Linked DNA regions of Drosophila melanogaster. The gene in region 3 interacts genetically with the main gene of each other region. Each region holds a gene or a part of one and is shown on either strand. Other genes may lie near its edges.

Region 1 (10,214 bases), 5.2 Mb from region 3:
TCGTGACCATCGAGATCAGTACATCCATGTTCGTGGTGCCGTGTTTGATCGCACGATAGGATTGCACATAGAAGTGAAAGCCACCGAAGAACTGCACTGGTGTCGATAGCAGGAACATCACCAGATTCTCCATCGACAGGCCGGGCACGAGGCAGCACATGTTGGCATGTCCCTTGTCGCTCATCTCCAGCATGAAGTATATCATGGCCACCATGCAGGGTCCACCGAAAATTAGCGAGACGAGGAAGGCATTGCGCCACTTCCGTATCTCCTCCTTGTGCTCCAGATAATTGTGGGCCATCTTGTCTCGGCCGGTCATCAGTTTGGCCTCGAATCCCAGCGCCTCGATCGCCTCGCAGATGCTCCGGGGACCCGTCTCCTCCGTGATGTACCGGAATTTGCCTGTAAAAATTAAGATTAAGATTATAAGTTGATAGAACTTAAATATCATCTATTAAAATCAGTCGAATAAGTTAATTATAGTGACGTAGTATTTATTATTCCTCCTCATTTCAGCCTAGTTAGTTTCAATTGGTACACTGAAAAACCGGACTTGTTTCATGTGCAACTTTTACAGAACCAGTCGTTAAAAAAAAATAGAGAAAGCCACTTTAAATGGCCAGTGAATATTCACATAGGATATTTATCAAAGATTCAGTTGATTGAAGTGAAAGCTATATACTGCTGATCTTTAATAACGATATTTGCTATGCCAAGCGTACAAGCCAAGAAAAATAATGAAGCCGCATGAGCTTTGTATATCTAGGGAATTGAAATATTACTACTTTTCAGGTATATTCGATTTCATTTCCATGAGTATGTGTAAGTGAATCTGAATGTGCACTCGCATATCTGAATGCCATATCAATTTCATCACAGTTTCTGGAGCTTGTTAGCACATTTATATGGCTACTCCTGTGTTTTGACAAGACACCAGCGAAAACTCTATAGGAGAAGGGCTAGTGTTTCCATATGTTTCCTTGGACATAGACAGAGGAACCTAGGGAATTTTTGTGGGTTTCCTTTTTCCCTGGCGTCAAATGAAAAGTGTTTGTACACCGTCGTTGAGTGGAAATAATGCCGGTTGTTCTGGTATTGAAATTGGAGCATACAACCGGTTCGATGGCGACAGATTTGATATAAGCAATGGCTTATAGTTTCTGGTTTGTGAGCTACATACATTTGCCTCATTTCACAACTTAAGGCAGTATTATTTGCCCATATAGCAGACATGTGGCCAAAAACTATCGCATCATTCAGTCGGATTATAGAAAAATCCGTGGGGCTCAGAGGCTCCGGGAATCTTGGTCACAAAATATCGCAGCTGTAGGTTCATTGCCTTTCCCCGCCAGCACAATTTGTAGATAAGATAGCTTCTTTTTAACTATGTAGAATGTGTAAACTGAATCGCTGCCGTTTCTCTACATGATTAGAGCATGTTGTCGCCCACAACTTTGGCCCGCAACTGGAATTTCTCGACATTATTGCCATCTGTTGGCTATGTTATTCCCCCAGTAGGTTCTCCCATTCATCGTCTTATTAGTTTTTCACATTTCCGATCTTTATTTGAAGAGGGGAAATTGTCACTGGCTTCAATTGGATTCATTGATAAGCGAGCAATCGCCATATACCATACTCATCATACAGTTCTATAATGAGTTATTCCTCAAGCCAAGAATAATTTTAAAGAAATTATAGAATTATTATGCTCGTTCGCAGAGGCCAAGAAAACTGGTTTTAGCCATCGGCTGCGCTTAGTAATACTTTTATTTTATTAACAGGCACAACATTTCAGTCTATCAACATTTGTGAGCCTGCATACTTTTTGCCTACTCATTGCAATCGTTGTTAGTTCAACGTTCTTATCAGAAGTGGGAATAGAACAAAAGATCATTCTGTTTCGTTTCGTCATCGCGTAAACTGTAACTAGGCAAATTTACGTTTAGATTAGAGCAACGGTTTGTTTGAGTCATCTGTAGATATGCCTTCAAATTAATAGCATAGATTGAAGCAAAGGGAATCGCTTGGGAGCTGACAGAACCCATGATATCATTATTTATCGTTCAATTAGAGGGCCACCAAGTGGACACCAGACGATGGGTCGTGTGCAAAATTGAGGAAGGATTAGGTTGATCACACCGAATGTGACAATTGTCGCTAATTATCAGTGCTACCGATCGATCTTAGCCCACTTTTCAATTGATAATTGATGCGTTTCGTGTGTTTACACAAGAAATTGCTTTTTCGAACTTCATTTTCGAATTTCAACGAATCAAAAGTAAAGTAGCAAAAGTAATATATGTGGGTATCTTAATCTATCCCTTATGAGTTATGCAAGTTCCACTGCAGTCGTCGAAATATACATTTTCTAGGGCTCTCGATTCAGTTTTTTTGTTCTTTCTTTCTTTTATTTGCCCGCCCATTGCATCTTATCGCCCGCGATTCGTTGTTACAATTTTAGAACATTTTCAATTTGAATTGAGATTGCCTGTGGTTCGTTCTCTGTCGTTCACTTATCGCCGGACGATAAGAATCGGAGGAAAACATATGTTTTGCTCAACAGTTTACATTCCCAATTTCGACTACCGACTTGCGGCAAACAAACTGCAAACAAGCCAAGTAACAATTGGCAAACAACAAGTTAAGCTAGTTAAATGAAGTTTAAGTGCTAATTGATTGAAAGATAAGAAGCCGCACGGAATTGGACCAATCCATATGGCAGAAGTCCAACTTCGCTGGCCCAAAACATCTATGAACTCTTTCAGAAGCATGACTGGTACGTAATTGTTTTTCGAAAATGATTACAATACAATTAAGTATCTTAATAAGTATATATGTAAATTCAAAATAAACAAATAAACTTTAAAAAAACAAGCGATATTGTACTTTATATACCATCATACAGCTGCCAGCGATTGATATTCATGTGGGCTCGCTGTTTTCATACCACTTTTGAATGTCTGAAATTATTTTCAGTGTCATTTAATCGCAACAGTTTCGCTCGCTTTTCTCCACCGTGCGCATGTCTCCATGTCGAATGCGAAAAAATCGAAAACCAGTTCCATTGCAATCATAATTACGAGGCTCCCCATTTATGCATTTTCATTTTTGAATTTGCAATTGAGCTTCTCAAAACGGCGCACGTACATCTAGTACATACATAAATACGGGTATGCAAACCGATATTCGTAAATCAGCCAGAATTCAATGTGAATGTGGTGGATCAAAGCCAAGTTATTGCATAATTCGCCACTAGTTCACTAATTTCAAATCAACATTTTTGAGCTGGCAAAGCAAAAGTAAAGTAAAAACAGCTCTAAATCAAAGTGAAGGTGAATGAAACTAGAAATGCACTCGAAGAAAAAGTGCGTGCTTAACATAAAATAAAAGAAACTTGCTAAACATTGTACGATTCGTGCTTTTAAATATTAGTAGATTTTATATGCTGATCATATGCCGAAGTAGATAGCACTCTTCTATATAATACTTATATCATAGTTAGCCCCATTTCTCGCTGTGTACGAAGTGGAAGTGGAGTTCGTGGCCACGCATGCGGAGCAGAAAGACTGCAAAGCTGAAAAAGAGAGAGGTTTCCCTCTTTTTTTCCAGACAAAAGCGAGATTAGTTCCTCGCTCGTTTGCCCGCCAATCGCGGGTATATAAATTATTATACATTCATACATATATATGTACATACATTATATGTATGTACTTGTATTTCAAGGCGTATTGGAGCTCTTTCACTTTTGTTTTGATTTTTCTTTGGCCAGGCGGACTTTCAGTTTCATGGCTTAAATGCTAATTGGTAAATGCGATTGGCAGTATAAAGTTTATGAAAACAAAGAGCTCAAATCATTTCATTTGTTCTTTGTCAGCTAATCGCATACATAAATATGTATATATAAGTTCTTCCTGAACACTCGCAAAAAACACGCTATAATCTGGCAAATAAAACTCGAGCTGCCAGCGCCCAACAAAACAATAATTATATTATGTGTTTTTTAGCGAATATCTTGAATATTTTAAATATCCCGACTCTCGGCTTGCCATTGAATTCCCCTCATCCAAGTGTTCCAGATAGCTTTACTGCCCACGCACACGAGCGTGGTGAATTCCAGCTATTTAATCTAGTTGCCACTGGCATTGTTTGCTGAAAGCATAGTTAGTAGTGTATGGTTTATAAAGTACATACATACATACATGCATATGAGTATAGTGCTCCTCGCACTTTCTTATCAACGAACCTGCCACCCTCCCCAGAAAAAAAAGCATAAAGTAAATCGAGTATATCAGTTGCAATAAACAATTGCTGGGCCAGTTTTCAATTGTGGAAATTGTGAAAAGCGAACAATAAAAAAAAAAAAAACATTTGCACCGATTCTACTCGAACTCGATGCTAGTAGGTTAATAAAAAGGAACAGCTGTCGCTTTCTGCGAAATGCAAAACAAATAAGGGCATTCTACGAAATTCCCTTGAATGGCTTATTTAATATTTGTTATTGCCACAAGTTGCATCAATTAACGATTGCCAATAGTTTGCTTCTGTTACAGCTCATTACTCCCATTGCATTATTCGATCCCTTAAGATATACAAGATATATGATCGAATTTAACACCTGTGCTCGTTGGGCAAGAATAAAGCGCAACAGGTGCATATCGGTTGATGGCCCCATTCCAGGTGTTTATTATTATAAATATTGCATAACAATTGGCACTGCCACTTGTGGAATGCTTCCAGACTCGCAATTCGATTCGAATGCATGACCCAGAACGTGATTTGAAATTCTCTCGGGATAAACTAGTTCCAGAAAGCCACTTAGCTTAAGTACACAAAAAACACTCACCCCTCTTTGTTAGCAGTGTGACGGAGGCGGTGGTCACGCCCCTTATTTTAAGCACATGACTCTCGATCTTGTTGACGCAGGAGGCGCAAGTCATGCCCATAATCTCCAACTCCACCTCCGCCTCGCCGTTGTCCGGCTCATCGATGAGTTCGGTGGGGAAGCCCAGCTCCGTGATTGATTTCGCTATATTCTCGGCCGTCACAACATTGGCATTGAACTTGACCTCCGCCTTGGCGGCCAGCAGGGCTACCAGGATGCTGTCCAGGCCGTAGATCTTCTTGCAGTGCTTCTCGATGGCGGCCACACAGCTGGCGCACGTCATGCCTCGGATGTGCAGAAAGCATTTGGTCAGTAGCTCCTGTTCGACGGGTATGGCCACTGCCGAACCATTTTGAGCATATGAAGGAGGTGGAGGAGTAGGAGTTGCCCTCTTTTTGGGTGATGAGGCGGGGGCGGGCGACGGCGATTGGGATGGCGATCGAGGTTCCTGCACACTAGCCTCAAAACCCATGTCATCGATGAGCTCGGCTATCTGGGCGGGATCATACTGGGCGGGATCGTACTGAACGCGGGCATTCTTGGCCGCCAGTTGCACCTCAATGGAATGGATGCCCGGCTTGGTGCCGATATTGCCTTCGATGTTGCGCACGCACGACTGGCAGGTCATGCCCACCACCCGTATGTTGGTCCATGCGCTGGCGGGAGTTTCGGGAGGATCTGCTGCATCCCCTGGATAGCTGCACTCGAAGCCCATGTCGTCGATATCGCTGGCTATCCGGGCGGGATCCGTCTGTCGGGGATCGTAGTCGAAATAGCCCGCATTCTCCTCGAGAATGACGCGCACGCCAAGGATTCCCGATTTCTGGCCAATGTGCTCTGTGATATTGCGCACACACGACTGGCAAGTCATGCCCACAATGGGCAGGCGCACCGTGGACATCGTCGCTTCTACTCTCTCGTCACTTGGCATCCTCAATGTGCATTATTTTGGGTGGGCGGAACACGACGATGCGGAATTACTTGATATACTTGAGATTTTGAACTTTTGAGTTGCCCCTCGCCCTATCGCACGTACCGAATTGTGTCACTAAACTAACTTTGTGGAGTCGGGTGAGTCGTATTGCAGCTACTACTGGATTTGTTGTGGTGGAGTAGTCGCCTCCCGCCAACGCTTTTCACTTGGCCAAACTCCACACGAAACTCACAATTTTGCGTTCTTGTGTCTAATTTTTCAATTAGCAGGCAACAGCTGCTCCGCTCCCGTTATGTTTTTCCCACGGCACGCAACTACCGATGGCCGTCCGTCGATAGGCAGGCGCTATCGAGATGAGCTAGATACCGATGTGGGCTATATCGATACATTGCTTAAACTTTCGATTCGATAAAAAAATATGTGACTAACTAATGTTTTCTTTTTAGCTATTTAATTGTTTAGTTAAATTTCAAACTAAAAAAAGGAATCTTATTAGATTTGAAAATTGCCAAGGTATCGTACATATCCCCCACTTGTCGATAAAAAGTCGATACGAGTCACGGCCGAACGGTCATCTGCCATCTCTATCCGGTCTACTACCGATTTGATTTGATTTGTTTTGGAATATCTATCTCTATTTTTTCGAAATCTCCAATATAATCCAACTCAGCATTGGCGCAGTAAAGCAAGATGCCGGTGGTGGAACTGAAAGTGGATCGCAACCTGGTGTGCTCGGACTTTTCTGGCTACAAATTGGCATTCGATTCGGTGCCTGTTCTTCGCCAGGAACTTGGATGTGATGCCTACGTGCTGGATCCGAGCAGCAATCAGTTCTCGCTGCTGCACACGGAGCTCTTTGCCCGACACAATCACCTGGTAGCCGATCCATGGATGCGCCACTGCAGCTACTTCTTTAACAAGCGCCACCAGCTGGTGCAGTGCAACTACGATCTACAGACTGGACGCGCACGTGCCCAGCGCGTTGTCCTCACGGTGGACTATAGGGATCAGGGCGATGGGGAACTACATCGGTCGGGTGACTACAACTACACCATAGTTTTCGTTTCGGAACGATTCTGTGTGATCTGCGACGGTATAACCAGTTACCATCTGGTGGACACCGGCGACAGAACGCGCACCGATGTGCAGGAGTGGCAACGGATTACACGCTCGCCGGTGAATAATAACAGTGGTCATCGCGGCTTTGCACTCTTCGATGCCCGGCTGGATGTGCTGCAGGAACGTAAGCAGATCTCGCTGGTGGCCGGTCATGTGGCACGCCGTGATGCAGTTGGCCAAGATCAGACGCACGTCTATTACATGGACTTGACCTGGGCACGGTGGACTCATTCGCCCACCAATGACGAGTGGTCATATAATATCTGTCAACGGCTGGAGACCACTGGCTCTGTGCACTACTGCGCCTTTGAGCCTCGCGCCGAGTCCCTAGTCATTGCCAGCAACCGCGATGTTCAGACTCCCGAGGAGCGTCGGGCAGCCGATGAAGCAGCCGCTGCCCGCTTGAATTCCTCAGGTGATCACGATGGCCAGCTGGAAAATGGAGGTCCACCTAGTTATAGCTGGTCCCAAACGGATAATAATGTGCTCATTCGTTTCAATGTTCCTTCAACTGCATCCGCTAAAGAGTTTAACGTGAGCGGTTCTAAAACCACTGTCGTTGTAAAGCATCTGGATGAGGTTATATTCGACGAAGAGTTATACGCCAGTGTGGGAGATGATTTAAGTGCATTTAAGTTGGCTGAGAATGGCCTAGAATTGTCACTAACCAAGGCGGAGATTCAGAACTGGCCACGTTTGTTCGCGCAGAAGAAAGATGACGTAGCGGAGGAAGTACATCCAATGGAAGCTCCACCACTGCCCATTCCAAGTCTGCAGGATCCCGTTGAAGAATGTGACTTAATATCCGCTGATGAAGAAATGAAGATGGGTAAGCATTCTATTATACATCTGCTGCATATGCTTAATAAATACATTTTCTTCTTTTAGTACGCTTCAATTTGACCAGCGGGTGCATCACCCACACTATTTTTCTTGGTCCCCCGCCACTGGTGCTCACCACCACGCTGCGTCCTGGCTTTCCAGCCGCCTTTGCTACCCGCCAGGGCGTCGACGCCTCCATATGGCTACAGATGTACCAGCCCAGTCGTCCAGATGAATGGAGTGTCCGCCACGAGGGCCAGCTGCACGCCTTCGGCTACGTGCAGGCCTCCAAGGTTGTGCGGAAATTCACCGTCTGCAGTCCGGATCTGGATTACGTAGCCATATGTGACCCTGTACGCTACGTTCTCGTCTACTTTCCGGCTAATAATTCGGCTGATGGTCTCCGCAGGCGAAACGGACCTCCCGTCACCTTGGGTAAACAAAAGCTCATCACCTTGGGCAACGAGATTGACGAGATTCTGGGCATAACCACGGCAAACAATCTGATCACCGTTCTCTCCAAGAAAGAACTGATACACCTGCAGGTGTAGACGGTGTTCCGCTTTTCTTTTTTTCTCCATTTACTCTTAAAGAATTATGGCTTTACAATTCAAATTCTGAAATGTACATTTTTAAAAAATTAGTACTTTTAAAATTTATAATATAAATATATAAAAAAAATATATATATGTAAATTTTTAATCATATATGTATACAACTATGTTTATTGTTAAAGTTTATTTTTAAGTGCTTAACAATTTTTGATAATGGCGCCAAAGAAAAAAAAAGAGTGGCAACTCTGCTGCTCAGTAGCCGATAGCATATACGTGGGTCCGCAGTGCTGCACAGCGAGTGGCGGAAAAGAGTGTTGACACGTCAGAACCCCAGACCTATCGTGCGGCGAATAACACAAAACGCCGAATGCTGGCGATATCGATAGCATATCACAAATAACAAAAACACGTCACGTAATCCGGACGGAGGCTGGTAAGTAAATGGAATTGGAATGACAGGTGGCATAGCATTTGGCCGGAATCTTGGCACTGACCGAGCGCATTTCTTTTGCAGCTGGAAGAATAACAGGCGGTGAAGCAGGGAATCATACGAATCCAGCAGGGAATACCAAAAAGCAAAAAGGGCGAACCATGAACACACAAATCGTTGTATTTGCGGTAGCTCTGATGATGCACTGCATCTCTGCCGTCGAATTCACCTTCGATCTGGCCGATAACGCGGTGGATTGCTTCTACGAGGAGATCAAGAAGAACTCGAGCGCCTACTTTGAGTTCCAGGTGTCGGCCGGTGGCCAATTGGACGTGGACGTCACCCTGAAGGATCCGCAGGGCAAGGTCATCTACAGTCTGGAGAAGGCCACCTTCGATAGTCATCAGTTCGTTGCCGAGACAACGGGCGTGTATACCGCTTGCTTTGGCAATCAATTCTCGGCCTTCTCGCACAAGATCGTCTACGTGGACTTCCAAGTGGGCGAGGAGCCGGCTCTGCCCGGTGTGGATGAACATGCCACGGTGCTCACACAGATGGAGACATCGTCGCAGGCGATTCACAAGGGCCTCAACGACATCCTGGACGCCCAGACGCATCATCGACTGAGGGAGGCGCAAGGTCGCAAGCGGGCCGAAGATCTCAATCAGCGGGTTATGGTCTGGTCATCCCTGGAGACGGCCGCAGTCATCGTGATCGGTCTCGTCCAGATTATGGTGCTGAGGAACTTCTTTACGGACCGAAAGCCCAGCCAGGCACACTACGGGCGGCTGTAGAGGATCAGGTTTCATTTTGGGATCTAGCTTAGTTCAGAGCCCTCGGATGGAGAGGGTCTCCTCCAATACCCAACTGTCCAAATCCCCCGAAATGTTGTCAATCTCGTCTTAGCCACAACGTATTCATTACCCCCCCCCCCCCTCAAGGGCGTTTCTTTTTCGGGCAAAAAAAACTCCCTAAACGACACATGTAATATTTTTTGTTAAGACCCCTCCCGGTAAAATACATAAAAAGGCCAGAAAATACATTAAAAAAAAACCAGAACTCGATAGCTAAAGGTACTCACAAAGCGTTTCAATAGAAGGGCGTCAATGGGGCATGAATCTCGACCAGAACCAAGGAAATCGAACAACGAATCGAAAACCCCTTTTGACTAGAGCAATATTTCGAGCAGTAAAAGATTCAAGCACTATGGAAATGTATCTTAATTTCAATCTGGACACCAAATCAACTGAAGTTTCATAAGGCAAATCAACATATTCCATTTCAGATGGCGTGGCCGCTATTATACTACATATATATAGCTAAGATCTGTACGTATATATCTTCCAAAATTCAGCTGAGTCAATAGAAAAGAATGTTAGATTAAGTTTCAGTTTCTATAAAGGAAGTTAATATACAGATATGACATCAAATTGAATGGATACAAATTAAAGGAACCACGAATATGATAACTTA
Region 2 (8,375 bases), on a different chromosome or scaffold from region 3:
GTTTCCGCTGAAGCAGATTATTCCGGTAAATGGAAGCCGTGCTGTTGACCTGGTTGCTGCTTCGGCCTTGCTCGTAAATGTCTTCATCATCCTCTTCGGAGGCTTCGCCCGAAATTTCAGCAGCAAAAATCTGTCACAAAATGGTTTTATTATTGGACTGTTATTTATAAATGATATCCTCAACAACCTTATTCTTCTCCTGCAGCTCCTCGTCGGATTCAGAAGCTTCACCGCTCACCAAATCAGCCATCATTCAGTTTATTAAATACTATTGTAAACAATTTTTTATTTACTGCAGTTACGGCGCTGCCAGATCAGTTAAAACTGCAAACTGTTGCTCACATGGGCGCAGTTGAAGGGGATATTCTTATGTTTGTGATATCTATGCTAACAGATCCGTAGAACTACAATCATAAAAATTATTAACGGATAATGAATGGTATTAGTAACACTTTGCCCATTACTCAGAAGACGATGTAATCTCAATAAGCGCAAAACATAAATTTTAAAAGCATTTATTAAGGACTTTGAAGATTAACAAACTTTTTACATAAAACGGAGTTCTGAACAGAGTAAGAACACTATTTATTGGAAATATTTTTGCAGAGCTCCTGTCTCGAACATTCGTTTGATGTCAGTGCCACCGCCAATGAATTTGCCATCGATAAAGACGCGGGGAACCTACACAGTACACAGGTTACAAATGATAATTAATCTTTATAATGTAAAATATTTAGTGCACCCACCGTTCTGGCACCGGTAATCTCGCCCAGAACTGCCTGAATTTCGTTGCCATCGGGATTTCCATCGAGTTCTATTATGGTGGCGTCCACATTGAGCTTTTTGAAGGGCTGGAACGCAAAGATGTTTATCACTGTTTGGGACTTTTCAAGGTCTCGCAACTTTCTCACCTCTTTGGCCATCGTGCAGTAGGGACAGTAGGTCTTGCTGAATATCACCACTTTGTTGCTGGCAATGGTGTTTTCAACGAATTTCGCCTGCTTGGTGGACATGTCGACTATTGGGGATCTCAAAGCGGATCCAACTGCACCCATAAGCTCGAAATCCAGGAGGGGGTACGGAAACTTGGGGGGCAATGCGGGGAGCAATGAAAGCTGCGACAAGTGTAAGCTGCGGAGAATTATCTCTAATTTAATCAGTTTTTTAATCATTGATTAGCAATCAGCTGTTGTTGCTCTCGCCAGAGCTGCCACGTTGTGAAATTACCATCTCGTAATCATAAACATGTTTAATATTTAATTTAATTTCCATATAATCATGCTAAGTTTAAGGAATCTATTATTGTGTGTCTATTAAGAAAAGAGAAAATCGACTGTTATAAAAACAATGTTTATTCAGCGCTGTCAAAACATGCAGTGACGGTGCCACATCAACAAATTTCATATACACTAGGGGGATTCCTGAAAATTCACTTTTACTTTGACTTCATTATTTGAAACTTATATTAAATTTGCCTATATTTTGTCCGAGATAGTAAAGCAATTTTGAAATTACTTTAACAAATTATGTTAAAATGCCTTGTATGTTAAAATAATTTGGCATTGATAATTAATCTTTGTATGTCCAATTCCCTTTAATGTAATAGTTTAACGTTCAAATGCAGTAAGAAAATGTTGTGAAAAAATTAAGTTATTTTTCAGAAGTCCCCGTTAAAATATTTTAACAATTACACTGCTTATTGCACTTAAAGGCACAAATTGTAGTCTTTTGCGAGATGAGCAAACAATGTGAGTTAGCCATTTAGAAATTGTTCCAGAGCATCCTTTGTCTCCACTTCGTTGGCTTCAAGGACGACTTCCTCCAGAGCCAACTTGTTGCTGGTGGTTTGAATTTCTAAAAAAAAAGGGGCGTTAACTTAGTGCATCATATTTGTTTATGTTATCAGACTAACTTGTCAGCTGGCCGCGCTGTTTGTACTCCTCCATATCCTCCCGGAAGGCGTCGTCGAAGACAGCCTGTCGTTCCCTCTGCAGCTTCAGGAGGGTCTGCTCCTGATCCTTGATTTTGGATTGGTGTTTCTGGGCTATTTGCTGGCGATACTGCTCCAGTTCGTTCAGTTTCTTTTGCTTGTGCCGGGAGAGCTGAAACTGCTGCTCAAGGATGAACTCTTGGAGCTCACACTCCTCGCGCAGATCCTCCAGCTTCTCGAGCTCAATCTCCAACTGCTTACCCATTTCCTCCAGGGAATTAAGAACCTGTGAGCTGTTTTGCAGTTGGGCTATCAACGTGGGAATTCCCGCCAGACTACTGTTCAGCTCACTCATGATCCTGTGCTGATGGCTGGCCTGGTCTTGGATGCCGGAGATTTGGTTAGCAATCTGCGCAGCCTTCTCCGCGTTCTTTTCGTTGGCGCCATGAATCTGCTGCCAATCATCCTCGTATTTGGCAAGCAAACTGCAACCAGCTGCCACATTTAGGTGACTGGGCACTCCATCGGTTAGCTGGAAGGGAGCACTAAGGGAGAGGCTACTGCTCCTGCTGGACGACAGACTTTCGTTAAGGCCCAGTGGCGAAATGGGGGTCGTAATCCCACTGGCTTGGCTACTCCCCGAGTTTCCGGAACTGACACGCTGGCGATATTGCTGTTGCAGATTCTCCGAGATCACCAGGCCCTCCTGGATCGCACTGCTAAGCTTCTTTTTCAGGTTCCCGAACATCTTGCGACAACGGATCTCTATTTATTTAACTTAGCGATTTCTAATTGTCTTCGCGCTGGCGTTTTCCATCGAAAATTGAGTGGTAAATAAAGAATCAGCTGTTCGGGCAGGTGCTGAGAGAAAATCGGTCATAGAGAGAGAGAGAGAGCAACAGTTTGTTGCCGTACACGAGAGGCATATCAACTATGGCAAGAGCTCTGGCACGTGGTTTTTATTACTTACTAAAACTAATAAGTATTATTAACATTTCAAATTTTGCATTTTTATTTTATAATTTAAATAAAAAAATGAACCCAAAGTTGATATTATAAACAGACACAACAGGGTATCATTCGGTGGTATATTTAGTATATTACTATTAAACATAACTTAAAAAAAAACCAACCAAATATGAATCTATCTATGGCAGAGCTTATATCTGTAATAATAATATAAAAACAATATTCTTAGTTTGGTTCAACTTCAGTTTGTTTCCTTTAAAATTTCATTCTGATCTTACATAACGATTCTCTAACTAAAGTTTAGCCTAATTAATCCTCGGTCAGGTCCACTGTAGTGACAGCTGTGCTATCGTCCACTTGTTGATTTGTGCTATCCGATTGAGACGGATATTCAGGTTCAGACGCAGGTTCAGTTTCACATGCCTTTTTTTTGGGCTCTTCATGGTACTCAATTATCTCAATATCACTATTATCACCAGATTCTAGGGTTATACAGCTGCGTACGCTGTTCTTTGCTTCTGAATCTGAGTCCGAGCTTGATTTATTGCCGCTGGACTCGGAGCTCGAGCTTACTTTAATGGTGAGAACATTTGGCTCTTCGTCGCTGGATGAAATGGACAGGGCCTCGGGCTTCTCGGATTTGTCCACCTCTTCGTCGGACATAAGTTCCCGGAATATATCGCTTATAGGAGAGGAGGAGTGTTCCTTAGACTCGCTGGCTTTCTTTTGGCTGCTCGGGTTTAGTAATTGACCATAGGCCATGGCCACTGCAAGAGCCATTTGCTTGGAGTGGTTTAGGAACACATCTGAAGGCGGGGGTATACGTAACGACTCGCTGGGTGCGGATTCCCAATCGCAACCGCTGCTGCTCTGGCTGCTTCTTCGTCTTCTGTGTGATTTTTTGTGTTTTTTAACCTTCTTTTTGCGCTTTTTTCGCCGATGTGAACTGCTGCGACTTCGACTGCGGCTTGAACTTCTGCTGCTCCTAGTTCTTCTTCGGCTGCGATGCTTCTTGGCCTTTTTGTGGCGGCTCCTGCTGCGCCTTCTGCTGGAACTTCTGCTTCTATCAACACTTTGAGTTCTGGGTGCATCGCGGCTGTAAAAGTAGTTGGACTTCCTCCTTTCGTGCACATCATCCAGATCCTGCAGCTTCTGTCGGCAATTTGCCTGTGTGCGCTCCTTTTCTCTATCATTATGCCGAATCGCGGTGTTTATGGTGCGGCCTAAGAAGCGTTTGTTTAGTTTGCCCAGAGGATTCACTTTGCGTTCGCTTTGTTTCGAGGTGCTGACACTGGCATTTGCACCTTCGATCTCGCGCATTAGCTCGGCAATCGCCTGACTAACGTGAGAGCATCAAATTAATTAAAAATATATCGGATTGTAATATAAATATTTACTTTGTTAGGTCTGCGTCCATTTCCATTTTTTGTGTTTGTTTATGGCATTTAATTGAATACCAATTGCTGCGAAACAAAAAATACCGCGGACGGTAAGTGCTACTTATAAGTATTTTTAAAATACTAAGTATAAAGCGATTATTGTATGTGCGTTAAATTAGCGTCGATGAGTTCGCGGCGATGACGGAACGGTGGAAATCAAAACATGGGGACGTTTTTTATTTATTTATTTCTTTTCGTTATTTGGAGGTGAATTGCAAAAAATAAAATAAAGATCTTACTAACTATTCCCACATTTTCGGGAATTTCTCCACTCGTAGAGCGTGACCACTTTTAAGGACATTTCTTTAGGGAAACGGCGGGGCAGACGTCAAGACATTCGTTGGGCCACGGGTGACAGTCGGTCGGGCGGGGCAGCAGGTGGGACAGTAAGCGTGGGGAGCCAAGTTTTCAAGTGCATATTTCATATACTTTCTTGAGTCCTATGAACTTAAGTCGTACATAGGTAGTTAGATATTTTTTTAAACGTTATTGCATTTTTTTGAATTCAATAATGAAAGAATAAATTATTCAAAATTCCATCGTTCCTCCGTTCCTCCTACACTAGCGATATTCTTGTCGATTAATATTGTCAGAGTAATCTTTTCTGCAAAATACCACAAATTAGTCCAACGATATCGATTGGCACAATCATCGATTAAAGTTTAAAAAATGACGACCGGCCGCAATAAATTGAATTTCTAGTTGGTTAAAGTAACGTTTATTGAAGAAGATCACATAATCGAGTACGACTAATATCACAGGTGAATCACAATCTTTATGTTTCAGATTCCTGGCCAACTATTTCCTGCCGTCTATCACTTTCTGCATCCAGGACACGTATTTACTGACGCGCGTGTAGATTCCGGGCAAACCTGGACGTGCACAGCCGATCCCCGTGGACACCACGCCCACCAGATGATGCTCCTTGGACATCAGCGGACCGCCAGAATCCGCCTGTGAAGGTAAGTAAACCCGGAGCATAACATGTGTGCCGTATCAGCCAAGTGAATACTCACCCAACACGAGTCGATTTGACCGTTTTCATAACCGGCACACAACTGTGTCTCTCCAATGGTATTGCTCTTGCCCAAGGATCGGTAGGACCTCTCGCACGCCTCGTTGTTCCAGATCTTAACGGTAGCCTTGCGCAGTACATCGGATCGATCGTTTTCCGCTTGGTTCTCGTGCGTCCAGCCCCAACCGGAAACTGTTCCGTACTCCTGCTCCAGACTTCGGTGCCCCTCCTCGGATCCCACGCAGCTGGGCTGGATGTGTGAAGAGAATCGGATTGGCTGTACCAGCTCCAGGAGGGCTGTAAAAGAATAAAATACCAATTTGCAATAGCTTAAGGAATACTAAGAATAATAAGTATTATTTGATTCGTCTCTGATTCATTATGGTTAATGTTAATATCCTTTGTTGAAACTATTTCCTACCTATGTATTTCTGTTTGTTTTTTTAAAACCTAAGCGCATATTTTTAATGGTGTTTTACTAGATTAAAATTTTTTATTCATTTTACTGAAAAATAATGTCATGTTAATGTCATATTGTTGATTTATGATTCAGTTCTGTACATATGGAAAATAATTGAACCTGCAATTACCCCTTAAAAAACACACATACCTATATCGTGTTTCACATCGTTGCAGTCGTATTGCGGATGGGGCACAATGTTCTTGAAGTCCACCCTCAGTGCATCCGGACCGTTGCCAATCCCGTTGAGGTACTCCCTGATGCTATGCAAACCCACAACTCCTTGGATTTGAGCTGGTTTCATGAACTGCTGCAGCCCATTGCAGATGCAATGTCCCGCCGTGAGGATCCATCGCTCCGAGATGATAGTGCCGCCACAAAAGTGACCACCACGACGCATCAGACTGACCATGTAGGGCATTTCGTTGCGCTCCGCCTCACTACCTCCCACGATTTTTGGATTTCGAACCGAGCATGGCTGGTTGCTAACTGTCATGGGAGTCAGAGGAATTTCAATTTGCGTGAGTTCATGATAAGGAGTGTTGAAAATAATTAGTTAATATAAGCAGAACGCATTTATTTATATTTCTCATAATCTAGTAAACTTTTCCTTATGCACGTTTTATGATTATACAAGTTTTGATAGAATCTTGAAATATTTGTAGGTTGAGTTCTTATCAAATAGGGAAGCATAAACTGTTGCAATTGGAACATTAGATGTTAGATTTATCCAGTGAATTTAGCATATAAATCCACAATGCTAAAAGATCATGCTTTCTTAATTGATATAAACTAACCTAAAATATTAAGGACTGCAAAAATGAATGGAATATTAAACACAAGTTAAAAGTTAAAAGGTAGTTCCCAGGAATCCTAATTTAGGAACTATAATTATTTTATTTTTCATATTATATTTGACTTATTACTCTTTTCGTCACATTTGTTCAATCAACTCACAAGCAATTTGGGATTGTGCACACTTCACTAGCGACAGAACCGCGACTACGAATACGATTTTCAACATTTTCTGTGTGCACAACCAGTGTTCTTAGCCCCGAAAAAAAACCCGTTAAGCACGGCTCAAGCTTAAACGAAACTGCCACGAATATTCTGTGCGGCAATTAATTTATATATAGGTGTCTGGGCGTCCAGCGCCTCTCCGTTCCACTGACTTACTTCACTGTCGTCCGGAGTTCTATGCGGATTAGCCGGAAAGCTCGCTCTCTCGGCCTGATAACAAACGGAAGTCGCAGCCGGGCCTTTGGCACCTGTTGCCTCAGCTGAGAGCTTTTTTTGCGCTGCACTACCTGTCTCATCGCCTTTTTTTTTTTTGCTGGTATTGTGGGCATGGGTGCCATGTGCACACGTTATGGCATTTCAATTGCTCCAAGGGGGGGGGGGGTGAATTAAGGAGCTGCCGAAAAGTCGAAAACAAACCCAAAAGTAAACAATGGCCGAAATAAAGTTTTGTGTGTTTTGCGTTTTATGACCCAGCGAAGTTCATGACATTGAAAAGTGCGCGACAAAAGGTGTGACAATATTTATGCTGAATTTTCGATGCCACCACTACGAGTTTATTGCACCTCTATCCTTATTTTAGTACATTATTATTGCGATTAGCACGTATTTAGGGTGTTATTGAAATTGTTGTATGGTTAATAAAGAAAAGGGTGTAAATATTATTATGACTTGTTAATCAACTGAAATGCTATTGCATAACTACAGAAAATTTTATAAATGATTCAAAACCAACTCTTTTGATTTTAAATTTCTTTTTGCTTGCATGTAGTATCTTTTATTTCTTCAGTTCTTATGATTTACAATGCATTTTTGTGTTCCTACAAGATCTAATTTATCTAATCTATCTTAAGAAAGTTAAAAAAGTTTCTAGGATTTGCGTAATCGTTACAGTTATGTCATTGCCTGCATTTGACACAATTAGTTCGCACATTGCAGCTAACCTTAGACGTCATATTTCCATCAGTTTAGACCTGGTAGTTAGTAATCGGGCCTGTTATGCAAATTAGGATGTCTGCGCTGCATATGAATACTGTGATGGGACCAAAAATTAATTGAAATTCAATGTCGGCGCAATCAATGTAATATTAGCCGCTTGACATTAACATTGCCCTTAAAACTAACGCATGGCCCACACACTCAATGCAATTGGCGACATGGGAAGGTTGATACACCATCCATCGCATATCAAAGTGATAAATGCAGGTGGAAGTGCATTTCTATGACATAATATGTATTATAAGCAATAGCATGCCAAAAATGATGGGTATTGAAGTGGGCAAAGCAGGAATTGGAATTGAAACTGAAAGTTAAGACGGAGTATGACAAATCTACAGACCAAGGCATTAATAATTCATTATCCACAATCTCGATTCTCAGTCGGAGCACACAAATCAGTTCAGTGGATCAGACAAGTATGCCAGAATTACTAATTGATTTCATGACTTTGGTTCCTTAACCGAAAACCAGATAGCATCCCAATCGAGTTCATTGATCGCGGCAGCTCTGTTTCGCACTAAATGCTAATTCACTAAACAAATCGCC
Region 3 (13,190 bases):
CCCCTGCACTATACTCTATTTTTTAAGCTTGAAAAAAAAAAACAAAAACAAAACTAACCCCAGCGAACTCTTCAAGTCAAGATTCCAAGACACCCACGAAAAATCACGAGGTAATTGAATTGCTAAATCGAATTAAATTCTAATCAATCAAATACAATATACAATGCAAAATGAAGAAGCACAAGCATAGGCAGTGATCAGAGGGAGACAGCAAACAGTGCAAAGACAGAGAGGGCGAGAGAGAGAGAGTTCGAGTCCCCAAACCCATACACATGTATGTATGTTCATGTTCCCCCCTCCTCTTCACCAACAGGTAAATTGCGACTGAACCCGACCCCATAAAAATTATGATACTGATATTTGATATCGATCTCGATTAAATCGAATTTTTGTGATGTGACGAGATAAGCCGTTGGCTAAATCTCCGTCCAAAACCAATCGAATATCCCGTAGCTGTATGTTTTGTACTGTTCGTGCCACACAATCTAAGATATATATAAACCCCACACTCAGATGAACTCTGAATACGTATACGTAATCAATCTATATACACGTTCAGCTCGAAATTAGTCTAAGATGCGCTATCCACCTTTAACTGCCCCGAACTTTTGTCTGGCTCACTTAACTTACACTTTCCTCTCTGCAAACGTATTCCAGAAGCCGCCAACCGAGGAAAGGAGCCCGAAAGTGTTGAAATAAATGCGAGGGATATATATATATATATATATATATACATATATATATGTGTATATATATGTATAGAGAAAGAGGAAGATATATATGGAAGATATGCATATGTCTATAGATAAAGAAGAAGAACCAACCAGGTAACTTCTATGCCACACCTCCACACATAAATGTTTCTTCACGACAGAGAAGGCGATATCCGAGATCCGAGATCCGTGAACCGCACTCCTCGATCCATAAAACGCAATCAGGAAATCAACGAACGATCACTTTTCAGTGATCAGAGAAAGACAGAGAGAGAGAGAGAGACAGAGTGCTAGAGAACGCTGAAAGAGACAGTGAGAGAGAGAGAGAGAGAGACACTCGTGTATAACTGTATTAGGCATAATACAAAACGAGGTGAATTTCCATTTCTCTCAACTACTTATAACTATATTATATACATATATCTATAACTATACCCATTACTTCCACCCATCCTTGGATCAAAATTAATATTGCATTGAAAACGCCGGGTTGTCAGTTAACGAAAAATACTATGGAGCAATTTGAACCGTACACATATATACATTATATATATATATGTATATGAATGTATGGTCGCTTTTGTTTTGTGTCCGCGCAGGATAAGCTCCTTTTTTCTATCCCTTTTCCTGCGAGGAACACACCTCTTCCCTGCCAGCATCCCAGATCCCATCCACTAACCCAACACTCCACATTTTTATTGTTTACCCACAATTACGTAGCAAATTAATCAATTGAATTGAGTTAGCATCGGGCAAACAGAGTTAAGGAACATTTACGAAGGCAGATTTAAGTATAATAGTGTAACCCAATCAATAAAACTTGATCGATCGTCTTTAGTCATGTAAAGATGTTTTTAATTACGAATTACGATATGAGTAAGGATAAACACATTCTATTGAGAGACTCGCAATAATTTTCTAATAAAGATCAAACTAAATCCCGAAAAAAAAAAACCAGCAATCCGTTGTTTTCTTTGCAATCATGATAAATGTAGTGACGAAGCGCACCAGCCAGCGGTAATGTAAAATCATGCGCGTTTGTTACTAGACTTTTCAGATTTTCAGCATGGACGATCGTGACAATGAAAATAAAATAGGTAATCGATCAAAAACGATTCGAAAAATGAAAAACAAAATTTTCTGTTGTTAATCTTTGCGTGCTAAAATAAAAAGAAAAAACTCTTCGTTTTCCATAACTTTCCATTTCAAAGACGTTTTCGTTTCAGTTGTAACAATATTGTGTTTGTTTATTCATTAATGTATGTATATGTAGATTTAATATATATTTAATATTAATAGTATTTATAAATTTCTTGTCGCTTTACTGTATGTATTTGCATTAAGTTTAATATCTACAACATCTATTTACGCACTTCAATGGATCAGGTGAACATATGCTGCTTACAGTGCGTTTCGGGACATTAAGGCAGTACATAGTATGTAAATATATATGCACTTGGGATGGCCGGCCATTCGTTTAGGAAAGCAATTTCACAACAGCCATTTTCGGATTGAGCAAAAATCGTACGACTGTTTTTACGGAGTCAACTTGCAAAAAAAAACAAACAGACAACAATTTACAATTAGCAGTTAAAATTAATTGAATAATACAGTAACTGTTTTCGAGCCTAAGGTAATATCAGTTGAACCTGAACAACACGTAAATGCAGAGCATAAATCGATGCTAACCTTTGCATACACCAATTACACTCATGAAACGCACTGTTGAAGCATACACTCAATCAAGCCTTAAAACATTCGCGGCCAAGTCAACATTTCACAAGGAAGCCAAATTTAACAGTGTTGTCTTTTTGTGGGACTAACAAACCAAAAGTGAAATATATATCTTATATATATATATATTTATATAAAAACAATGAAGTTTATTACAAAATAATAATAATCATAATCGTATAATTGGTTTACAAAATGGTGTATATCAGTAGTAATGATCAAAAAAAAATATTTGCTTTTTGGGGGAATCCTGCGCACATACATATATAAATTGAGTAGCAACGGAAAAAATAATATTTGCATTGCTTAACTTTATACAATTCGCTAGCCAGTCGCTCAATTTGTTCTCTTTTATATAATTACACTTTTTTCTTTACTAATAGCATAGACTATCTTGATCTTGATGTCAATATTTTAAAGATTGTAAACGATGCAGCGCGGTTGCATCGATTTAGTTTAGTTTATAGGCTAATACCTAGAGAACAGCTGCAATTGCTGCAAGGTTTGTTGAAGTGCGATCGTGTGTATATATGCGTGTGTTCGTTTCCTGTGGGGATGAGAGCTTCCTGGGATTCCCAGCTTAGCACCAATGCCTCTGCCTTTCATTCAGATGGACATTTGCTCCTCCAACGCCTCCGTCTCCGTTTCCATCTCGGTAAGACAACAGCGACTTAGGCTACCGGGAGTCGTTCTCTGTTAGTGACAGTGCTCGGTTACGTCCACGATAACCGATTTCTTCCAGCAGAAGAGGAAGTAACCAACGGCGGCGCCCAGGACAACCATCAGGCAGAGCCACACGTTGTATGTCATGAAGATCAGCATGAGCAGGAAGGACAGCGTCACCTGGAGCACGTGCAGCAGTGTCTGGAGCAGGTGGTTAATCGACAGCATCGAAGGTCTGTTCATATCGAAAGAATTTTACATTTAGTTATAATTAAAGCAAACATCGAACAAAATTAGCAGGACAAGAAAATATACATAATTGAACGTAAACAAAAATCAAAACAGAACTAAGTATTGCTAAAGACTATATATATATATATATATTTATATATCGCTGAGCTGCTCTAAGAATTTCCATTGTTAGATTAAACTACCATTATTGATTAGGGTTAGATTCTCTCTAGATTAATTGCCAACTTGAGCTACAGGTGTGTAATACTATATCTTGTGGTCCAGCCAGATATTCTGTACAAATGACGGGCCAATTTGTAAACCGACACGGATTCATCGTCGCCGCCGAGCGCAGTTGTTTCCATTAACTTTTTCCCATTAACTGGCGCATTGGGTATATCGGACATATCGGATAGCCAACAACAGCTAAATAGATTTAACTAATTCAAATTGTAGTGAGGCATCAAAATTACACAGAGACGGTAATCTATATAACACATATGTACGTATGTATGTATATTGATTGGGCAGGTGGTCAAGTGGTGTACATATACATATGGTGTGGTCAATGGAGCGATACTTACGGTTGCTTGTGCACAACTTCGCCCACGTATCTAAGAAAGGATCGATCGAAGCGTGCCGGGAGTAGGGACACCACACGATTGCGGATGCGATTCGCGGATGCAGATGCAGATACAGAATCAAATTGAGTTACAATATATATATGTTTAGTTTCAATTACGGTCGCGTGAATCACAACAATGGCCAATTATACGATATTAACGAGGCAGACCGTATCGATATGAATTTGGTTTTGAATTGGGTTTCGTTTAGTTTTTTTTTTTTTTTTTTGTCGAGATGATTCAATTTACAAATGAAGAGCGACGACGCGCATTGATGATGATGCAGATAGAGATATTGATGGTATTGATCAGAATGTGAAGCGGTAGCGGTAACGATTTGAACGATTTAACGGGTAACAGCATAACGAAAACGAAACGAGAAGAGAGAAGAAAGCATTAAGATTAATATATACAACAAGTTAAGTAAATACAATAGATACAAAGCTACAGTATGGGTAAGGGCAACAGGCATGCGAAGGGGATACCAAAGATCCAATATGATCCATTCCATTCTACAATGGGTAGCAGAAAATCCGAAACTCACTGAACGGGCGATGGAGCTGCCGCTGCCGGCGATGGTATGCGCGGTGCCTCCGGATTTCTTTGTGGCCCCGTCACAGGTCGATATTCCAGCAGATTGTATGTCTTCCAGAATAGATACTCGCGGTAGTACTTCAGTCCCTCGTACATTAGGGCCAGCAGGAAGATGGCGATCATGGAGCCGATCAAACCGGCCACTGTTTCGATGTGCCACCAGGAGAACAGGATCGTCTCGTTGTAGCCAAAATGGAACTGTTACGATTGAGGAACATTATTTGGTTAGAAATGAAAATTCTTCAAATACTACGTTCTCTTACCGCCATGGGCATCATGTGCTCCATTCCCGTGCCAGAGCCACCGCCATGATTGTGCGCTCCGTGAGCGGCGTGACCCGCGTGACTTGCCTGCAAATCGCTGGTATCGGGGATCAGGTCGAACATGGAAGCTGCATCCATTGGAGACGCTGTCGCAGCAGGTATACCGCTGTGATCGTGGTGCATGCCCACATGATCGTGATGCATCGAGTGATCTGTGGATTGCGAATGATATAGATAAGATGCTAGATGCTAAGCAGGCATCTTCAATGTTTTGGCCAAATCACACAACACCTACCAACACCGGGCGCACTGTGATGGGCGTGGTCCATAGCAGCTGGTTAACCGACTTCTTATTGTGGATCTGCGATTAATGACTGCAAAGAAGAACGGAGTGAAAGTCGCATTAAGTCTTTGCCACTCGTAAGTGAATAATAAACAATGTACATAAATGATAGCAATGGCTACAATGGCGGCCAAGATAATAGAGCTTTCTCTATATAAATTCCCCATGAAAGGTTTAAAGATCAAAACAATCTTGCAACTAAGCTGTTATTACTATCTAATATAAACACTGTAACATATATATTATATTGACCATTTTTATATTATTTTTATTTTTGTAAGTCTAAAGTTTGTGTTTTTTTTGCGGGTCAATTGCCAAGCCCCAAATCGCATCAAAAACCGATATATCTCAATTAGAAAGTCAATCTCTGAACAATCCAACCTCCGCCCTTTCCCTTTCACATCTTCGAAGGGAATGTCCAATGACGAATGCGAAATGTGTAGCTGGGTAAAACTGTGTAACTGGGGAATGTGAAATGAAAATGCCACACATAACTCTGCGTGCTCCATTCACAGGAAACTGCGTGAGGCAGACCCGACACCCGATTCCCCACACCCCCGCCATAAACTACCACCATATCTGACCTTGGATTAACCTGGATTATAATGGGTCGCTAACGACTCAACCAACTGCTGTTCCACTTCTGCAAATGGGAACACTGCGAACCATAATTAAACAGTGCTGGATACTTCATTTATTTCACTTTTTTGTTTGCCTCTGTGTCTGTGGTTCACCGCATTCAGTTAATATCGCAGTTTTAGTGATAAGGTGCTGCGACGACACCACATTGCAAAGTAATCAGTGAAACATGCTCGAATATCGAACCACTTGTGGCATGCAGTCCAAGAAGCTCGCTGCTATGACAGGATGTGCGGCTGACTGATATGAGTTTAGGCATACATAGGCAAAAACCTCTAAAAAATGATCCCAACTAATGATCCATTCCTTTGAAATTGTGGCCTACTTCCTTCGATATCCGTAATGTGGACAACTGTCGTCAAGTTGAAATGGTCGAAACAATAATCCAGTCCGCATTAATATTGCAAGCAATCACATTCGCCAATTCCATTGAAGAGTTAAAACACGTATTCCTCCCCCTTTTCACTGTAATCAATCTCATCCCATATCTCATTAAAACAAACAAACGAGCTTTAGAAATCCACTCGTGGTACAAAAAAAAAAAAAAAAAAAAAAACCCGCTTCGCTGGCATTTTTGTTCTGAGGAGCGAAATTTCTATAAAAATAGGTAAACAAGTGTACATTTAAAACCTCTTAATGCGGCGATCTGTTGAGGAACGGATTGCTTTAGCCTTCAAGCGATGAACTCAATAGTTATCCAACTGAACTGGACTGGCACAACTGGTTAACTGGTTGGCTTGGCTGCCACTATTTTCGGTTTTGGCCCGAAATGAAAGGAAAATTAGCTCGGTTACGGTAGTAATTTGTTTTTCAAGACAAAGATCGGTACGGCAACCAACGACTTTCAAAATAACCCATAAGCAGAGAACATACGCCACATAATTGCTACTCTGGGATGCAGCAATTGTAGTTCGATTTGGAAATAATCATTGAACACAGTGGCGGTGGGGAAAAACTATAAAAACTATTATTCTGGTGCAAAAATACAGAAAAGTTAAAGTTCAGGGTAAATTTGCGTGGTTTATAAATAACATTCTGTGGTTTGTTTGGTTTCTATGGAATCCCTGATAGGAAATCGTTTGGGCGCTTTTCTTTGGGAGGCAATGGGAACCCCCTTTTCAGCGCCTCTGATAATTAAACAGCAGAAAACTAACGCACTGGGACCAAACCGGTTGGACCTATTCACCTCTATCACTCTCGCTTTTATTCGCCTGCATTAGTAGCTTTGCCTTTACACAGAGAGAAAAGCATTTGTTACTCTTATCATGAAATAAACCATTATCACTAAATATTGTTTAAGATTTGTATATTTTCTAGTTCTATTTTGGGCAAGTAATAATGAATAATCTGCGTTTACCAGTAATATTTCTATTATGCTAAATGCTAAGACTCAGCGAAATAGCTAAGATATTTTGATATAAGTTTGAAAATGGAATTTCACGACGTGATGAAGTGTGATTCATTATTCATATTATATTAAAGAATTAAAATAAGAATTGAATTAAAATTTAATTTAGTTCCAAATATCAAGTGAAATTTAAACGATCTAGCAACGTAAACTTTTTTCTTTCTGTTTATTTGCATGGACAAATGGCATTAACCGTTGCTTCATCTCATCAGCTGATCTCCGCCAAGAGAGCCCCATCCTCTGCTCCTGCACACACACACACACTCACAATCGCACCAATTGCGAAATGTCAAATCGTGACCGACATGTATTGCAGCAACAAATGGGAGAGAAACGGCGAGAGTGCGTGTGTTTTTTTTCTATTGCAGGCCGGGGGAGCTATTATATCACATGTGTAAAGAAAAGAGAGTAGGAGAGAGTTTGTTGATCTGAATTCGAACATACATATATCACTCAACGCACGAACACAGATAGAGGGTTAATTGTGCTTGTAACGGTATAATTGACTGATAAGCGATTGGCACTGATAATCACAATCGGTATGCAATCGCTGATTATCGATAAGGACTCCTAAGCTTTGTTTTTAGTTTCGTTTATACTATTTCACGCATTTCGCGTTCTTTTTGTTGTTGTTGTACTTACTGCAATTGGCGGGCAATTGGCTCGAGTTGTAACAATCTACAATGTATGTATGTATGTATGCTGTAACACCGGTTTAAGTGACGAACTCAACGGAATGTCTAGCTAAAAACAGAGAGTCAACGAAAAATGCCAATAAGCCAACAGTCGTACATTTTAAACAATGCATGCAGCTGCCGTTGACACCCACCCAACCCCCTGCACCAGTCATTTAACAACAATCACAGTTTCTGATTTTATTTTGTGCTTCGTTGTTGCTTTTTGCGCTAAATCACACACGCACACACACTCACTGCAAACGCTGAGCTTTTGAAGCAAGCGAGATAGCAAGAGTGGACCGGCTGCAGCATCTTATGAAAAATAATAATTGCTTTAATCGTTTTTGCAAGTGTAAAACCCGATCTATTTCACAGTGTTGTTATCCAATCACACATGTGTGTGTGCGTCCAGCCCACACACCCACTATTTGTATTATCAATTGCACTTTATCAACGCAAGTTAAACCGAACTCTATGTTTATGTATTCAAATGTTAGGGGCTTACTTTACTTCCTGCGGCAAGGAAATAAATAATATTAAAACAAAATGCGCACGGTCCGCCCGCAGACAACTTGTTCGCACGATTGTTGATGAATTAATTGCAAGCATATGTTTTTTTATTTAACAGTGCGCTGCCTACGAAAAGGCACTAAATAATGCCAAAAAATAGTATTGTAAAAGACGAAGTAGATGGAGTGCAGCTTAAAAATGAGTAACTTATACAACTTATTGTCGCAACAAGTAGCTAATTTATGGAATTTTAGTTTAATTAGTTTTGGTTGAATTTAGTTTTATTTCGAATAAATAAAAACAGCTGTGTATCAGTGTGCACACACCACGATTTCTTCAGTTATCGATAAGAAACCAATCGGCCGGGGACCGTCGCCAACATTCTATGTGCGCATTAAATTAACTTGTTACCTTTAAAACCCTCGTTTCTTAACCAAAAAAAGGTAAAGTTAAGCAACAAATTACTGTAACAGTATATAAATTAACATTCAAATGCATTACAGGTTTTAGGAAACACCTAGCAGCAGCAGCAGAATCTAAAACCCCATTGGCAACCAAAACACGTGCCAAAACAAACGATTAAATTTTCCGTAAAAGTTGTAAATATAAAAAAAAGTCAGCAAGATGGGAATGGTATCGAAACGCAAGAAGATGCACTATGGCGATACCCATCTGCAGAGGAGATGGCGTGTGCGGAATCGACGTCGTGATCTCGACCAGATCGACGACGATCTGCAGACCCGGAGCGGTGAACTGATCAATCAGAATGTGGATCTCGACAAGCCGGGATTCGCGCAGTTCTACTGCGTGCACTGTGCCAAGTACTTCATCGATGACACCGCCATGCAGGCACATTTCCGCACCAAGGTGCACAAGAGGCGTCTCAAGGCCCTAGAGATCGAGCCGTACAGCATCGAGGAGGCGGAACGCGCCGCGGGACGTGGCAGCTTCGTGAAGCCCAAGAAGCGGGCGATGGAAACGCAGCCATCGAAGGAGGACGTGGTCGCTGGCAAGAGGATCCGAGTGGAAGTGGTGCCCGAGGATACAGATGCCACCGATTCGCCATCGACGTCCAAAACGAAGCGCAAGAAAGTCGAGAAAATGGAGACATAGGCGAGGAGGATGAACCAATCTATTGATCTAGCTTAGTTTTTAAGGCCCTCGGGGACAGGACTTTCTTCACCCCCCTCCCACAGAACTCTGTTTACCTCCAATTGCTTTCTTTAAATACATTTTTTTTCCAACATATATAAATCGATTCAAAATTAATTTTCATTTAATGCGCGCAAGGGTGGCGAAAGATCAACAAGCTTCTAAACAACAAGCAGTTCAACGCTTCCAAGCGGCAAAGCTTTATTTACCGTTCTTTTGATTTCTCTCCTGCAGCTCAAAAGTTCAAGTTCTCTCCGCAAGCGGTCACTTTCTTCGTCCGTGAGCAGCGGTAAACACAAAATGCGATGGCTGACGCGCTTTAAAATTAAAATTAAATAAATATCAGCGTCGTTTGCTGTCGAAAAGTGCTACAAAGTGTAATTAACCAGTGAGCGCAGGTCGACGCAATGCGTTTGATACGGTATTTCTAGTTTAAACGGGTGAAATTGGTAAATTTCTGCAATTTCCTCATTCTCCTTTGGGCTCATTCTCCGTTGGCGCGTGTGTGGGTGTGTTGGTGCGTGTTCAACTGGCATTCTCATGTGCACTTAAGAGTATGCTACGTTTTAGAGCGGTGATCTTGTGCATTTTGCCATCGCGAGTGTTTTGTTGTGAAATGGCTCATCAAAATGTGAGAGTATTTGTGTTTTTTTTTATATTTTTTTTTAGGTGATTTGTGCTCAATAAATGTGAAATTAAATAATGTACAACTTTAATTGCATGGATTTATTTTGAAAAGGGTGAGTCATTTAAATTTACACTTTAATTTTATGAGTCCTATATTTGCAACTGAAATATAATGAATAATTTAACGTACGGTAACAACAATATGCGTACTAAAATCCCCAAGCATTTGTTTGTTTAAGCAAATAAAGAATAATTTGCACAAATTTCCATTTTTGGAGCAAAGAAAATCAAGGCCTTCATTCAATCTTCACGGTATAAATATATGTATTTGTCGCTCTTATATCCTCGTTCACATGGTTTTCAGATATACAATAATTATACCTAAGTAGGTTAGCTACAAGACTATTCGAACTATACATGATGGGGATAGTGCAAAATTCTTTGCCACTGGGCGATGAGGGCCATGCACTTGGGTCGCCTTCGTGTTCCTTAATATACAACATTTTGTAGCCTTTCGGCCACAATATTTCATAATCAATCTCTCCTCGTTTGCTTTTTTGGTATTCCTTGCCCATTTTGTTCATGATTGAAACATTTCTTTAAATATACATTTGTATGTTTGTTTGTGAGTGTTGTGTGTGTTTGTTGCGTGGTTTCATTTGGTTTTATCTGCCTGCGGCTTGAGGTAAGTAAATGTGGCCTAGTGGGGCATTGGACGAGTTTCTTCTGGCTCTGGGTGCAATAATGAGATATGCTCTTGAGGTGGGTCTATATATATGTACAATCATGATCAGCGAACTGGGTATAGTATATGTATGTATGTACAAGTGGTGTATGTATGTTTGCATGGTGGGGACTAGTTTCACAGCTTGTTAATGGCCGCTTGCTGCAGATCAAGGGCAACCTGCTGCTTGACCTGCTCCTGTGAGGCGGCCACCGTTCTGTGACTTTGATATCTTTGTCGACGCATCTTGCGCGGCGTTCCATTGGCCAACTGATCCTGCTCCGTCTGCTCGGCCTCCTCGGCGGCCGTAAAGAATGGATGCTTTAGTGCCTCTTCGGCGGTAATTCGTTTATGGGGATTAATCTCGAGCAGGCGATCCAGTAGGTCATAGGCGCTGGGTGGAAAACATTCGTATGCGTCCAGTGGCTCTGTCAAGTAATCGCTATCCTCGCATAGGCAGTTGAAGAAGTATTGATCACAATTCCGGCACACTTCGCAGCTTCCGTCCACAGATTCGTAGCTCTTGAGGAGCTTGGCATCACTAAAAACGGAACGATAGCGAAAGCGCAGGCACAACTTTCGCAGATTCAGTGGCCTGGACCTCTGGCTCAGGGTGATCATACGGTCGAGAGCCAAGGCCGTCTTCCGTATCGCCTGATCTCCAAATATTGTTACAATCTCGGCCAGCGCGATAAAATCGTTGGGCGCTTTGAAAAACGGATACACCGTTGACATGATCGAAAGGAATATCACACCCGCCGCCCAAACGTCCACGGCAGTGGTCTGATCTGGGTACTTGAGCAGAACCTCGGGCGGCCGATAGCCAGGTGTTCCTGCCCTGGAGGCGTGCACCTCCTTCTTCATCAGACAGTTGAGGCAAACTGAGGGATTTGCAAAGCAAACGCACTTGGCATTATTAGCCGCTGCTGCCGAGACATTTCGATTCGTATTGTACTTGCTGCCAGATGGCGTCGATGCTGTTTGATCCATCTGCGCCAGTTGTGGCTGTCGTTGTGGGTGCTGCTGTTGCGACTGCTGCTGCGGCTGCTGCTGCTGTTGCGACTGTTGTTGCTGCTGCTGTTGTTGCTGCTGCTGTTGCGGCTGCAGTTGTTGCTGCTCTTGCTGCACTAGCTGTGGCTGGACGTGATTGGACCCATCTACTGACTGCTCCGGCGCATCGCTTGGCGCAATATCGTTGACCGGTTTCAGGGGCATCTTGTTGGACTCCTCGTGCAAACGCATACGCTTCACTGCTCCACCCAAACCAGCATCCAGCGCAATTTGCTGCACATCCCCCTTTGATTCGCGCTCTCGTGGCCGTTTGCTATTATTATTGTTATTATTGTTGTTGTTTTTGTTGTTGGCTGCGGCGATGGCGGCGGCACTTCCGGAAGATCGCGCAGCCGGAGGATTCACATGCTGGGCCAGACCGAAATCGACGAGGAGAAACTCTCGCCGACGTCGATTGTAGAGAAAGTTGCTCGGCTTCACGTCGCGATGGATGACATCGAACTTGTGGACATGACGCAGTGCCACCAGGAGATTGCGCATATACTGCCGGATCTCGGGCACATCCATGCGCGTGTAAAAGTCCTGGAATCGGTCATGTGCCATGAAGGGCATCACGAAAGCGGCGGAGGCGTCATAACGCATGCAACAGTGGATGCCCACCACGTTCTCCTTTCCCCTGAGAAGCGAATTAGAGCGGGAAAACAATAGATTAGTTATGCAGTTATAGTTTGAATACGCAGCTTTTGGCTGTAATTCCCAACCAGTGATTTGAGCAACAGGTGTCCACCAACCCTGATTAACTTTAAGGGTAGTTAATGTGATTAAGCTAGTCACACATCAAATTAATTGAACTGAACAGCAGGATTTATGCAAGTCAGCTTTACCATCTTGTTTATGTTGCTTTGTTGTTCCGTGTGGGAAAACCACAACAACAACAGAGACGCCCACGCACACTTCCGCCCACTCCATTTCAGTGAGAGAAAGAGAGAGACAGAGGGAGAGAGGAATGGAAAGGGAGAGTGATTCTTCGACGTCACGTAGAACCAGTGCGGACCTGATTTCTAGCTATTTTTAGCTGAATATTTGTGACATATATGGAATATACAACGTACAACCTAATTTGACAGTTTTTACTACTGTTTATAATAGTATAAGTTATTTACATATATATTTCCATTACTTAAAATGTCTGCGTGGAATGTTGATTTCGGTGTAACTTAGAAACAGTTGATTTGATTAGCTACTTTCTAGCTAGTCGCGCAGCTCGACGGTGAGCGA

Evidence for each region.
Region 1: of Ctr1A (region 3) and ATP7, changing one suppresses a phenotype caused by changing the other (phenotypic suppression), as found in Drosophila melanogaster (2 studies listed by BioGRID).
Region 2: of Ctr1A (region 3) and Grx1, changing one enhances a phenotype caused by changing the other (phenotypic enhancement), as found in Drosophila melanogaster (one study listed by BioGRID).

Annotation. Positions count from the first base shown.
Region 1 is NC_004354.4:11,850,951-11,861,164, reverse strand, and holds the start of ATP7 (ATP7), read right to left. Parts: upstream 6,144-10,214; 5' UTR 5,814-6,143; coding exon 4,844-5,813; intron 403-4,843; coding exon 1-402. Other genes in the region: CG10347 (uncharacterized protein), read left to right, coding at 6,507-7,764, 7,824-8,308; p24-1 (p24-related-1), read left to right, coding at 8,903-9,535.
Region 2 is NT_037436.4:18,862,183-18,870,557, reverse strand, and holds Grx1 (glutaredoxin 1), read right to left. Parts: upstream 1,329-8,375; 5' UTR 1,228-1,328; intron 1,221-1,227; exon of another isoform or gene 1,132-1,220; 5' UTR 1,056-1,131; coding exon 912-1,055; intron 852-911; coding exon 747-851; intron 682-746; coding exon 586-681; 3' UTR 501-585; downstream 1-500. Other genes in the region: Blos3 (biogenesis of lysosome-related organelles complex 1, subunit 3), read right to left, coding at 1-130, 188-250; Dysb (dysbindin), read right to left, coding at 1,754-1,854, 1,913-2,678; CG14074 (uncharacterized protein), read right to left, coding at 3,209-4,219; CG6865 (uncharacterized protein), read right to left, coding at 5,137-5,292, 5,355-5,650, 5,964-6,302, 6,771-6,837.
Region 3 is NC_004354.4:6,657,005-6,670,194, reverse strand, and holds Ctr1A (copper transporter 1A), read right to left. Parts: upstream 8,549-13,190; 5' UTR 8,394-8,548; intron 7,956-8,393; exon of another isoform or gene 7,854-7,955; intron 6,532-7,853; exon of another isoform or gene 6,434-6,531; intron 5,196-6,433; 5' UTR 5,151-5,195; coding exon 5,117-5,150; intron 5,034-5,116; coding exon 4,822-5,033; intron 4,757-4,821; coding exon 4,509-4,756; intron 3,956-4,508; coding exon 3,926-3,955; intron 3,346-3,925; coding exon 3,144-3,345; 3' UTR 2,567-3,143; downstream 1-2,566. Other genes in the region: CG3224 (uncharacterized protein), read left to right, coding at 9,023-9,511; Cdc7 kinase, read right to left, coding at 11,040-12,588.